Linked DNA regions of Saccharomyces cerevisiae S288C. Each later gene encodes a partner of the first gene's protein in a complex. Each region holds a gene or a part of one and is shown in the gene's direction. Other genes may lie near its edges.

Region 1 (8,797 bases):
ATTTATCCTGAACAAGAGTTTGATGTAGTTTAGAAGCGCCTTCGTATGATGGAAATTCTAACCCACCTAACTCATATTGAATCAAAAGAGAAACCTTTTGACTAACCCTGTCAATTATTTGGCTCTGTTTCTTCTCGGTTAAAAATGGATATTTCAAAAGTGGCGATAAATTGATTTCTTTGAACAATTTTTTTTCATTGTGCCTCACCCTCATAACTGAAAACTCTTCAGAAGTGGCCAGTAAATTTAGTATCCCTTGTAATGATAGAAATTTTTTTGCGTTAATGAATTGTTTCATCGACTCAAAGGATATATAATGTCGCGTCATTGCATTTCCGTACGCTGTAGATTTGTACTCCCCATTGCTGATATCGATTATTTTCACTTTTACTAAGGTGTCAAGCAAATACTGACAGAATTGATTTATCTGAGAGTCTTCAACGGAATGAAAACTAACGTATCTGTTCACCTCTTGATATGCAGCTGGATTCTTCCCAAATCTAACGTAAAAGAATGTGTTTCGTAGCCAATTTACTGCAGTTTCAATTGAATATACAGTTTCCAAAGAGGTTTCTGCTGCTAAATGCTCGATCAAATTCAAATGTAATGAACTTTCCAAAACGTCAGTTCCATGAATTAAGTTTTCATATGTTTGCTTCATTTTAGAGTCTGTCATGATTACTGCGCACCCGTGAGTTTCAAATTGAGGTCTTCCTGCCCGCCCAATCATTTGCAGTACATCTAGGTCTGAATACTCTTGGATTTCAGAAGAGTTCCAACTTTTGGTGCCTTTGATAATGACCAAATATGCGGGAAGGTTCACACCAACAGCTAACGTTGAAGTTGAACACAATATATTAATTGAACCTGCAAGAAATTCTTTCTCAACGGCAGTACGGTCTTCTAAAGAAATTCCAGCATGATGGAAAGCGATACCTTGTTGCATACATTCATTTAATATTTTATCGGAGGGATTATGATTACATCTTTTCTTACTTTTTGAAAAAATATGATTATTTAATAAAAATTTTGCTGTTGATATAGTTGAAGCCCTAGTCGGACAAAATATTAGTACGGGACGATTATCGGCATGCTTTTCAATTATTTCAATCAATTTGGAATTATATATAGCATCTTTTTGGAAGTCATTTTTGCAATTGAAGGAGTACCCATAAACAAACTTCGTTAACTGAACTTGCCTGTACGATTCGTCAAAAGAAAGAATATTTGCAGGAAGCTCGTTGTTAGTTTTGAGCCACAATGCTAGGTCTTCTATATTTGGAACTGTTGCACTTAAAGCAACAAACCGAATGTTTTGACACATTGTATTCATCCTTGTCAGAATTACTTCCAAAGATGCTCCTCTTTTCTCCTTTATGGTATGAATCTCATCAACTAGGACAAGTTTGACCAATTCGAATAATCGGCTGTAATCGGACCATCTTCTTGTTAACAAATCCCATTTTTCTGGTGTCGTAATTATTATGTTACATTTTTTAGCCTTTTCAGTTTCCAGAAAAGAGGTATCACTAGTAAGCATACCAACAGAAAGATTCACAAAGGAAGGAAACCAGTTCTTGTACATCTCGTAACATAGAGATTTGGTTGGCGCGATGTATATAATTTTGGTGTTATTGGTATCACTATTTGTTTCCTTTATAAGACGTAATATTGCCAATTCAAATAATACAGTCTTGCCTGATCCGGTTGGTGAAGAAATTATGCAGTTCTCGTTACTCTCATAAATACTAGGAAAAGCCTCTGATTGCATTTTATTAAATTCTGTAAATTTAAAAACCCCTCTGAATGAATCTGGTAATATGGTCGTGCTCAAACATTTCTTCGCTGATTTCCTTATCGTGACCTTCTTAGGTTTCTTCGCCTCTTCATCAGGTGTCTGCTCTAAATCGTGATCAAATAATTTACTAGTTACTTGTGTATCATCTGCTGTTATTGAAAAATTATCGTCTTTGTCGAAGAATTGCAGACCACGGCCCTCAAATATTTCCTCTGTTTCATTTTCATCATCACAATCATCCAGTAAACTGTTATAAGACAAACCTACTTTAAAACTTGGTTGGCGGCTATTTTTCTTATTTCTTTTAAATGTAGCAGACTGGTCGTTAAAGTCAATATCTATAAGTCCTCTGAAATTCTAGTCCAGAAAAACCACTTTTGGTTGCATTTCCGCTAGATAATAAAAGAAAGAGGTAACAATGTTAGTCAAAATACTGTTGTTGTCCGATATGGTGTAAACTGATAAGGGTGTTGCTAAGCTTCGTTACTACTATTTGGAGAGGGTCTACTTCTTTTTCCTGTACCGAGGCGATCAAACTTTGTTTTCATCCTTACGACGCCTCTTAAGTTGTCAAATCCACCTTGAGGTATCAATCATTTTCAATGAAAGGATTTCTTGATAGATGATACTAATAGTCCCGTTTTGTTTATAATCCGGGGCAAAGTCTAAATACCCGCCGAGCCTGCATCCATTCGTGGTACATGATATGTTAAAACTACAACAAGGCATAAAAAAGGGAAGTATATATGATTAATTATATATACGTAAAGGAAAAGATACGTAGTTAAAGATTGTTTTTGTTGGTATCAATGGAATCAAAGATGAGTGAAGAAGAAGCGCATAAAACAGTGGAGGTGGATGACGTCGGGGTTCAATTGGATGAGGGCGATGAAGAAGACCTTTTGGAGTATGATGATGAACTCGTGGAGGAACAACCATCGGACGCCCGTATACGCAACGTGGCAGAGACTTTAATGAAAAGCGAATTGCCCAAAGTCACCGTGGAATATAAAGATACTACATTTCTGTTGTTCACGTCGGATGATAAGAACGAAAGTAACAACCCCATAATATGTGAAAACGCTGCTCTTTATCAGCGACCCATGGGGGAATTCATGGAATCCATTCGTAAATTTATGGGAAATCGTTTTGGCAGGTTGGCTTTTGCTACGAAGGAGTTGGTTTTACAACTGAAAAGCCTCGATTTGACCTTGTTCGAAGATAATGTCTACAACAACCATATTTCATTCAGCGATGTTTATACTATATTTAAAATCCTGAAGGAAAGATCGGAGTCTAATTTTGAAACTGATATACCGACGCACTTGGCTATTGAATTAAGTACAAGGCCAAGATTTGTCTCTCGGTACAACGCCTTGGTTGAATTAACTGAAAGCTCAGCTACGTTGAAAAACATAAAGCCATTTTCTAACGATGAAACGCATCCCTTAATTGTGGATGACAATGACCAATATACACACCAGAATACTTCAGAAGTCATTGTAATGGACATAGATGATGACGTAGGTGAGGATTCTGAAGACTAAAGTAGCCATGTTTAATCAGCACTGATCGTGGGAAATCCTGATGTCCAACGGTGAGTTTCTGATTTCCCAGTCACGGATTCCTTTTGAGAATCTTCTCCCGCGAATAAATTATTGGCTCTGTGTAATATTTAAGGTCGCCTTCTTTTTCGTTTGTATAGTCAGCAGTTAAGTATTCATTAATTTTGGATGATGCAAAGGTCCATATTCGATTTCTGATAGCCCTTCCCCCTTTTTTGTAGCGAATTGTATTATTGTTTTGTATTGTTTTTTCGTCATTTTCTTCAATTTTTTTCAAGTTTTACTTTCGGAAGAATTGCTGAAAGTATTTTCTGTTAGGATATGTAAAATACAAGCATAAAATATGTTTCAGGAGAAGAAAATCACTCAATAGTGCCACACCATTGTTAACGAGCTCGAGTAATTGAATCAATTTAGAGAAATAGATCATATTACAAAAATACTATGATTATTGAACGTTGGGAAGTAAAGTTATCTAAATGTAACCAAAATGTGGGCGGCTATTCTGTTCTGTCAGGAAACTTAAAAGAAAACATCAAACTGGGAAGACGAGCACAAAAATATTTGAAAGAGCTAAGAAATTTGCAACTTAAACCACTGAAAATCGGAGGGTATGAAAACTGCGGCACGATCAATGGTGAAGAGTATTTTTTGGAGGTAATTCACATCACCTCTGGAAGACAAAAAATAGATGTAGCCGTTGGCAAAACATGGAATGTGACTAACATTGAGAATGACAACAAAGAAGAACTACAGTATGAGTTATTCAAGGAAAAGTTAAAAGTCGGGAAACAGGACATGTTATTTTTTAGCTGGATGAAAAGTCTTTCAGTTCAATTAAATGCTCCTCTTCACCAAAAAATGACGGAACACGGTTTGGCAGACGATAACACGAGGTTAGAGTGGTTCAACATCCCACTTCTCAGAAGAAGTCAATACAGGAAAAAGGTACCATATCCGAGTTTAAGACAAATGTCCTCTGTACTGGAAGTGCAATGCAGCACACTAACGGAGGAAAAGTTGAACTTCTGCGTTGGATTTTCTGATAAACCTTTGTCAGAATGGAAGCCCCAAATTTTTGAGCAAACCTACAATAGATACCGTTTACAACGGATCTCACCTGAGAAATCTTTCAAATATAAGAGTAGGTGCAGTAAGTACAATTTCAAGACCAGTTCGCAAAGCTGGGTTGTGAAAGTCCCAGAACATGATCAACAGCTTAATACGTTTGAAAAACGTTATGATGAACTCTTTGATGCTCAATTTAATAAACTAGAATTTTTTAAAATAAGAATGAAAAAATTGAAAAAGAATAAGCCAATTGAGAAAAAGAACTATAAAATATGGTGTCTAGAAAAAGAAGACCTAAAGGATTTGGTATGGGATCCTCTGAAAAGAATTTGCAATCATTCTAGGTATGCAATATTTGAGCATGTTACCATAAATAGGGAGGCCTATTCGATCAAACCATTAAGGTTAACTTTTCAAAAATTAGATTCCGGCTCCCTTGACCTGATCGATAATCAAAAAAAGACGTTTGGTAGTATAAAGCTTGCAATGAGTATGCCAGATGTAAAAAAAACTGAAAATCAGTCAATTGAAGAAAGTGAAAGACACGATGAAACTGCTATTGAAACCCAAGAATTTGATGAAAATGATTGTCTTTCATCTAAGGCGGATATTAATACATCATTAGCTCCTCAAAAGAGATCTTTCATCGATAATGAACTAATGTCCATGTTAGTCACCAAAAAAAAAATAAAGAAGGACAAGGATGTTAGTGACACCGGTATATCTTCCACTTCATACTTGATAAATTCTGGGACATATGCAAATTCTCATATTGAAATTCCTACCTCTAATTCAGTTTACAATGGAAAGGAAGATTGCTCATTTAATAACTACTCAGTAAAGCATTCAATATTGGAAGAAGATATTGAGAATAAATGCATAGCCGTAAATGAAAACAAGGTGATTGAGAACCAAAAGGTAATTCAGTCATTATGTAAAAATTCCCATCTAGACCTTATCGAACAATCTTACTTTGGCGAATGCGATTTCATTATAAACCATTCAACATGTGTATATAAAATTCAGGCGAGCCGATTTATGCAACTCAGAAATAACGGCTCATTGCATTACGATAAAGCGGTAAACGATCTTTTAACTGAATTTCAGAGAGTCATTATAATTGTGGAGTTTTCTGAAATAATACAAGACGTTGATCCTGATCTTTTCTGGAAAATCAAACTTTATTTATTGAATTCACGTGTTGATGTTTTTTTCATTCATGAGACTACTGACTTTTTTATTGATTGGATGAAATATTTCATTGCAAGATGGGCCTTTTCATATAACGATGAGAAAGAAAAAAATATTGCAAATGCCGATATTCTTCTAGATTTGGGATTTAACATCCTCTTAGTACGGAAAATTTTCCAGACATATAGTCTCGAAGAATTTTTTATGGCAATAATAAAGGAAGAAAGCAAAGCTGTTAAAATGCTTACGGTTTCACAAATGACTCGCCTGAAGAAGTTATTAACCTTAGAATGGTAAATCCAGCAAGGATCGTTACCCGGTAAACTATTTATACTACGCCTGCCTCTTTCGTTCTTCGACTACATGCTACAGTTAGTAAATTCAACCAAGGAAAATGTATTTATTAACATGAACTAGCCACCTAATTAACCCTTACCTTATTTTTTATACCCTTGGATCATCGGAGTATCTGTAGATCATATGTTAACGTATGTATAATATTACATCTGTCACAATAAACAACCCGAAAAAAATACCGCACGGAAAATGAGTTACTGATTAAGATGCACTTTTTGGTGAGGGTGCGTGACTTGAAACTAAAAATTACCAATAGTCAAACCCTTTCCATTTTCGAGGGAAGCAATATCTGAAATTTATATTTTTAGAAATTTCCAAGAGAAAGTGGCTTTTAACGAGGTTCTTCTTCTTCATCCCCTTTTTTACCAATATTCCTTTTTATGGTTGTATTCGAAATAACTATACTTGGGGCCAATGGAGGACCCACCGAATACGGAACACAGTGTTTTATACTTAAGCCTGCTAGAACAGAGGATCCAGAATTAATAGCTGTAGACGGTGGTGCAGGAATGTACCAGCTACGGGAGATGTTGGTCCAAGGGCGAAATGAAAATGAAGGTGATGATGAGCTTGTTCCAAGCTTTTATGAACATGATCGAGAGCCAATAGAGTTTTTTATTGATTCCAAACTGAACATACAAAAGGGATTATCCAAGTCCTTGCTACAATCATTAAAGAGGCAGGGAGAGCATTTTGAAAGCGCCAATACAATGAAGAAAACTTACGAGGTTTTCCAAGGAATTACCGACTACTACATTACCCATCCCCATCTGGACCATATTAGTGGGCTGGTAGTAAACTCCCCCTCAATATATGAGCAGGAAAACAGTAAAAAGAAAACTATTTGGGGATTACCGCATACTATTGACGTTTTGCAAAAGCATGTCTTTAATGACTTAATATGGCCAGATTTAACGGCAGAACGTTCAAGAAAATTGAAGCTAAAATGCTTGAATCCGAAGGAAGTTCAAAAGTGCACTATCTTTCCTTGGGATGTAATACCGTTCAAAGTTCATCATGGGATAGGCGTCAAGACTGGCGCGCCGGTATACAGCACCTTCTATATCTTCAGAGACAGGAAAAGCAAAGACTGTATAATAGTTTGCGGAGATGTTGAGCAGGACCGCAGAGAATCTGAAGAATCTCTACTTGAAGAATTTTGGTCTTACGTTGCTGAAAATATACCGCTTGTGCATCTCAAGGGTATATTAGTCGAATGTTCATGCCCATTATCTTCCAAGCCCGAGCAATTGTATGGTCATCTATCTCCAATATATTTAATCAACGAATTATCCAATTTGAACACTTTATACAACAGTAGTAAGGGATTAAGCGGTTTGAATGTTATCGTTACTCACGTTAAGTCAACACCTGCTAAAAGAGACCCAAGACTAACCATACTCGAAGAGTTACGATTTTTAGCTGAGGAGAGGAACTTAGGAGACTTGAGAATATCTATTGCGCTAGAAGGCCACACTTTGTTTCTATAATGTACACAACGTCAATAACATAATACTACGTAGATGAAAAGCGGAAAAATTCATTACCCGGGAGCAAGCAAAATACTAGTAGTAACTAATGAAACTTCTTTCCATTATTATTGATGAGTTAACTTATGTAGACTCATCTTTGAATCCCCTATCCCAACATAAGTCCCGGAATGGAACTCCGTAGTTTTTCTAGACAGCCTGATGGCATACTTGCTAACCCAAGATTGGGAAGGGAGGAAGTATTGGAAGGTGAACATCCGCAAGATGCTAGATTAGCCCGACAAAGCATTTGGTTGAGCCCAAGTTTAATTGCGGAGTATATACAGCTTTTTTTCAATTTTATTATAGGAACTATAGGACTGTCTCTTGCTATTAAATTCATTTTGATGATAAGAAACGATGTTAACTTAAAACTGGAGCATAACGTGAGGGAAGAATTAGATAAAATTGCAACTTGCAAATCAAGGTATTTTGAAAACCAGTGCGAACCTCATATGAGGGTTCCAGCATTGGAGGTACGTTGCAATGAATGGTCAAAATGTATGAACAAGGAAATAGTGTCTGGCTCCGATTACCAATGGGCTAAAGCATGGGCTCGTACTCTGGCGGAGGTAATAAATGCTTTTTTTGAAGCGTTCAGTATACGATCTTTCCTTTTCATTTTAATTAGCATAATAGGTATAATATTTGTTACCAATACGAGTTTCGGATCATACAGGGTTTATCTCAATAATAAAGATACAAAATCGGTTCGCCATGCATAGTGTATATAACTTAATCTAATCTGCACATTTATATTATTTAGATCCATACGTCGATGAGGATATGCGCAGGAAAGACATAAAGGAATATTGTTATTTCAAAGATTTTCTCCACTCCTTAAACCCGTTCGATAATATATGTTCTCCATCAATCAAACCTGAATATTCCTCATCACTTTCTTCAATTTCGGATAATCTTAGGTGATTATTTTCGAAAACCAACTTAAATGCTCTTATTTGAGAATGAGGATCCTCATCTCTTGGTATCATTTTCAAAAGCCACTCAGTAAGGAGACCATACCATTTAATGGCTTCTAAACATGCACTTCCAACTTGTGGATTATTGTTCTTTAATAAAACAGGTACTTCCTCCGTTGAAAACTCTTCCACAGTTTTTAATACATAATGGTCGTCTTTAAAACCATATATGATCCTTGGGATCCCAACTAAGAAGCATTGCAGCCAGGTCCGGAACAGTTTACGCTCAAACTTATGCGTATCCGATATGTTCGCAACTTGCTGCGTACATTTCAATTCGGCATAATGTTTTAAATTGTCTCTACC
Region 2 (3,995 bases), on another chromosome or scaffold:
GAAAACTTGCCCTTGAAGGTCTGGAAACAAAACTCCGTTCTAAATCTCCAGAATGGGTTACAGCCACCTCTCCTGATATTTTTTGTAATTTGTCAATCTTTTCATCAATTGAGTTCTCAAAACTACTAATGGGCGTACCATCTTTCTTTGATAATACATTGGTGTTATCGTTAATTTGATCCATTTGATCATTTGTGGGAGGCGGCTTCTCTGATATGGATTGCGTGTCGTAAGTCACCATCGATAGGTTTTTTGGAGTTGGGAGAGATGAATGATCCATTCCTATTTGGCCGATATTCCATCCCATGTTATCATCCAATTTAAAATTTTGAAATCTACTGTCTTTGGGGTTTAACTTGGAATTATTCATATAACATTGCTCTAACCACATATGATTTGTCACAATAATGGCATTTTGCGGGTCCAGTGACCATTTTTTTGCGACTTTGAATTTTTTGCCAATTGTACTCTTCGTGATCAAGTGTGTGTTTTTTCTTGTTAGTTCAGGTGTGCTAAGTCCTCCTAATATTTCTACTAACCTCTGAATATAAAACCTTTGGGAGCCGAAATAATTAGTGTACGCGACTGTTAATTCCTTAGAAGTAAATAATTTCGCATGAAATGGTTGGTGAATAAGTTTACATTGCGATACAGGTGTAAATTTTTGCAGCGCAAACATATAAAACAACCAACTTACGTTCCCAACATGAATTTCCGGTTTAATGCTTTTGGTTTTTTCTAGTATCGGTGAGTTAGCAGAGTGGCCGATATAACAGTCAATATCAGGAAAAGCTTGGTAAACAGACTTCAGATCGTCAGAAAAACTCAACGGAGTTACTTTGCCGTCCAAATCCTCGATAAATCCTTTCAAAAACCAATACAAAGGTGTGAAAAAGTTTAAATCTGGTGAGATAGCAAAGTGGTGATTTTTGAATAAAGTTTTGTTTGGATGAAGAGTAAGCTGCGATGATGATGTCTGCTTATCGCCAATAACCTCTTCCCATTTTGCGAATAACTGTTCCTCACTGGTGTCCTGCATATCAAGCTCACACAAAGTAGCAAGCTCGCCCTTCAAGGGCTTCGCCATTTTGAAATGATATAATATCCATATTGGATAGACAAATTTCCACTCTCTCAAAGGCTTTTCGGTGTGCTTGTTGGTCGATGAAGAGGAAAAAGAGCCAAATGTCAATTTACTGACCGTTGCTATGATCGGGTCCTGGGGACTTTGAACAATCACATGCGTCGTTCTATTTGAGATGTAATTGACTAAAGTGCCTCCTAATAAATGAAGCAAATCAGAGTATAATATGTATTCACACTTATTAAACGAGCTTTTGGAAATATATACTTGACAGTCTCGGAGCAAATGAAATGGGTTAGGTGAATACATATTTGTCCTCAAATGTCTCTTCGTCTTGACCGAATCCTGGACCCAAGTGTGTGATACCACCGGGATCAAAAGATCGAAATAAACTATCTTATAAAAAGGAAAGTTGATTGTATTACTAATGACAAAATGTACTGTTTGCGGGCCGAATTTGTTCATGAACCAATCTTTATCCGTCTTGACATCTTTCAAATTTTCGTTATAAAGCTCGTATATTTGACAGTTATTGCATGAATTATCCATCAAAAGCTTTCTAGTAGAGTGAGCGATGGGAAGCTCAGCCTCTGCTGCCACTAAAATTAAAAAATTTAGCTGCTCAAACAGAAGTGATGTGCTCATGGATCGTATATTTACCAGTATGCTACCTCCTTGAAATCTTGCCCAATAACCTAATGACTTCCATTGAATATACAATATAGAACATTGTGATGTATTTATTTATTGGCAAAAAATGTGACGCGAAAAACAACATTAGATGAGTGAAAAAGAAAAGTCACATCTGATATAGCTTACCCTGTTAACGCGTGAAAAGTGGGCGGCTAAAACCGAGAAAATACGAAATAGTGTAAAGGTTCAAGAGAATAAACTTCTGGAACAACATTTCTGGAATGGTTCAATAGAAATGTCTGAATTCTTTTGGGATGTACAAAAAATACAAGAGATTTCTAATGTCGAAGAACATTCTGTGGTTAAGTGTGTTACTGTGAATACGAGCAGGTTAATTTCGCAGCTTAACGAGGAGCTACAAGACGAAGAAAGTGGCGTCAATTTTATTGTTACACAGCTGCAATTACTGATAAATAATGTCTATGAGAAAATACAGAAAAGCCCTGGAGTTCCCGCACATCGTTCTCTGATGATAAATTTGAATTTCACGCGCTTGAAATTCTCAATAGCTTATTGGGATATCTTATTGGAGAGGTCACTAGATCTAATAAATGGACCATCGAAAACGGGTGCCCGCTACTTTATTACAGAGGTTACACCAGTAGACAGAAGTCGATATGTTGAAAACAATCAATATTTTCTAGCTTTTAAAGCTAACCAGCGTTTGACACGGAACAGCGTGGATATGGACGAGTTTATTGATTTTGAAATTCTAATCAAGCAAATAATTTTCGACCTCTTCAAAAAAAACGGAATTCCAGATCAAGATTTTGAAGCCATTTTATCAAGGTTTCATAATTTGGAAAGCTTGGTGGTTGCTTTTAATGAATAATAAAAAAAATGTAAGAAAAAAAAAATCAGGTATTGTTGAATTATTATTTACTTATTCTTTATGTACTCGTTTGCTTATTGGTTTAGTGTAGCATTTGGCTATTTTTGGATGACTAGAAAGGCAGATTTTTTTAGTAGAAATACTCCTCATCTTCATCGATTTCTACATCCTCTGAATCGGCAGCAAGGTTGCCTTTAAAGTTCAGTTTCATAGGATTGACTTTCTTTTTCTTTCCGAACATCTTAACTTTGTGCTCATTCAATTTCAATGAGCATGGTGATACCAGCCTGTCAGTCGGTGATGCAAATCTTTGTTGTAGTTGGAGTTTCCTCTTCGGATCCTGTTTTAAAAGATCCCTTTTGAACATTGTCTTTTTTACCAAATTGCTAGTGGTGTGTGACGACTTCAAGTTTGAAGTGCTTTTTTTCCTAAAAATTCGAAAGGCCGCAATCTCCTCCTCTAAATTAGGTATATTCTCTTTATTGGCGTCCTCTCCTGTCTTCGCCGATTCATTGTAATTATTGATGTTATTGTGGTGATGGTAGTTGTCGTTGTTGCTGCTGCTGCTTCTGGTGATTGTGTTTTCTCTGGTAATATCAGTCTTGAGGATGGAAGCCGTGCGTGCTGATTGGTCACTTGCCTTGTTGGACATAAATACGTTTTCTATTGTTCTTACTGTATATGTTATTTTGTTTTCCTACTAGAAGTATTCCAAGATAGTAACTAATCTGAATGAACGTTTGGCTGACCTCCTAAAAACTAGTTTGAAATGGCGCTTTAGACTTCAAAAGGAGGAATTCTCCTCTTGTGGCAGTATTGTTTCATGCTTTTGCTTACAATTTTCATTAGGAGAAAAAAAGGAAAGATGCCCTGTTTACATATTTCCAAATTAGGAAAAGATATTAACCATGGCGAACTGCATTTCAGACCTGCTTTTTTTTTTCTGTAACCCTTTTAAATTAGGGTTTGCAATTTTGGCATTTTTCTTTTTTCCACAATGGGAAGAGGCAATACAATGGGAATCATTGAAATTTCCATAAATGTTGATGAGTCTTTGGCTGAGCAAGTCACATTGAAGTGTTCGCTGCACGGTGAGATACACCCTGTTTAACTTTATTTGTCACCTTTTTGCTGGTATTTTTTAGTCGCTTTTAACCTCGCTTTTTCAAAGACTATCTCCATTCTATTCTTCCCTTTTTCTTTTGTTCATTTGCATTCGCATCGTTATAGACACGGTATGTGGATACTCATATACCTATTTATCATATGGTCCTCACTGCGAACGTGGGTTACTGCTGTTGACTCTACTACGACAGTTGGCGATGATCTGAATGAGACCGTTTCAGCATCTGTCTGGCCGACGATGTCCCCTCAAATGACGGTGGC

What was found. Proteins that work in one complex are often made in the same cells at the same time.
Region 2: the proteins of ZIP2 (region 1) and SPO16 are in contact, whole or in part, in a crystal structure (PDB 6BZG), measured with the Saccharomyces cerevisiae proteins. Residues at the interface, in NP_011265.1 of Saccharomyces cerevisiae: Phe534 (codon at 5,407), Leu558 (codon at 5,479), Gly562 (codon at 5,491), Leu564 (codon at 5,497), Asp567 (codon at 5,506), Val570 (codon at 5,515), Asn571 (codon at 5,518), Leu574 (codon at 5,527), Thr575 (codon at 5,530), Glu576 (codon at 5,533), Phe586 (codon at 5,563), Gln591 (codon at 5,578), Asp596 (codon at 5,593), Phe598 (codon at 5,599), Trp599 (codon at 5,602), Lys600 (codon at 5,605), Lys602 (codon at 5,611), Leu603 (codon at 5,614), Tyr604 (codon at 5,617), Leu605 (codon at 5,620), Leu606 (codon at 5,623), Asn607 (codon at 5,626), Ser608 (codon at 5,629), Arg609 (codon at 5,632), Val610 (codon at 5,635), Asp611 (codon at 5,638), Val612 (codon at 5,641), Phe613 (codon at 5,644), Phe614 (codon at 5,647), Ile615 (codon at 5,650); in NP_012023.1 of Saccharomyces cerevisiae: Val17 (codon at 2,061), Glu18 (codon at 2,064), Val23 (codon at 2,079), Ser77 (codon at 2,241), Met79 (codon at 2,247), Ser90 (codon at 2,280), Ile91 (codon at 2,283), Ala92 (codon at 2,286), Tyr93 (codon at 2,289), Asp95 (codon at 2,295), Ile96 (codon at 2,298), Glu99 (codon at 2,307), Asp103 (codon at 2,319), Lys110 (codon at 2,340), Arg114 (codon at 2,352), Phe116 (codon at 2,358), Ile117 (codon at 2,361), Thr118 (codon at 2,364), Thr121 (codon at 2,373), Val123 (codon at 2,379), Arg125 (codon at 2,385), Tyr128 (codon at 2,394), Val129 (codon at 2,397), Tyr134 (codon at 2,412), Phe135 (codon at 2,415), Phe138 (codon at 2,424), Lys139 (codon at 2,427), Asn141 (codon at 2,433), Gln142 (codon at 2,436), Thr145 (codon at 2,445).

What each region holds. Positions count from the first base shown.
Region 1 is NC_001139.9:29,291-38,087, forward strand, and holds ZIP2 (Zip2p), read left to right. Parts: upstream 1-3,807; coding exon 3,808-5,922; downstream 5,923-8,797. Other genes in the region: HFM1 (DNA helicase), read right to left, coding at 1-2,136, 2,289-2,346; RMR1 (Rmr1p), read left to right, coding at 2,620-3,345; 3',5'-cyclic-nucleotide phosphodiesterase PDE1, read left to right, coding at 6,363-7,472; BRR6 (Brr6p), read left to right, coding at 7,643-8,236; RAI1 (decapping nuclease), read right to left, coding at 8,327-8,797. UniProt on the Saccharomyces cerevisiae protein: Required for initiation of meiotic chromosome synapsis. Involved in synaptonemal complex formation, a structure that tethers a pair of homologous chromosomes along their lengths and plays a central role in recombination and homolog segregation during meiosis.
Region 2 is NC_001140.6:400,700-404,694, reverse strand, and holds SPO16 (Spo16p), read left to right. Parts: upstream 1-2,012; coding exon 2,013-2,609; downstream 2,610-3,995. Other genes in the region: RTT107 (Rtt107p), read right to left, coding at 1-1,729; SPO12 (Spo12p), read right to left, coding at 2,740-3,261; MTC6 (Mtc6p), read left to right, coding at 3,847-3,995. UniProt on the Saccharomyces cerevisiae protein: Necessary for efficient spore formation.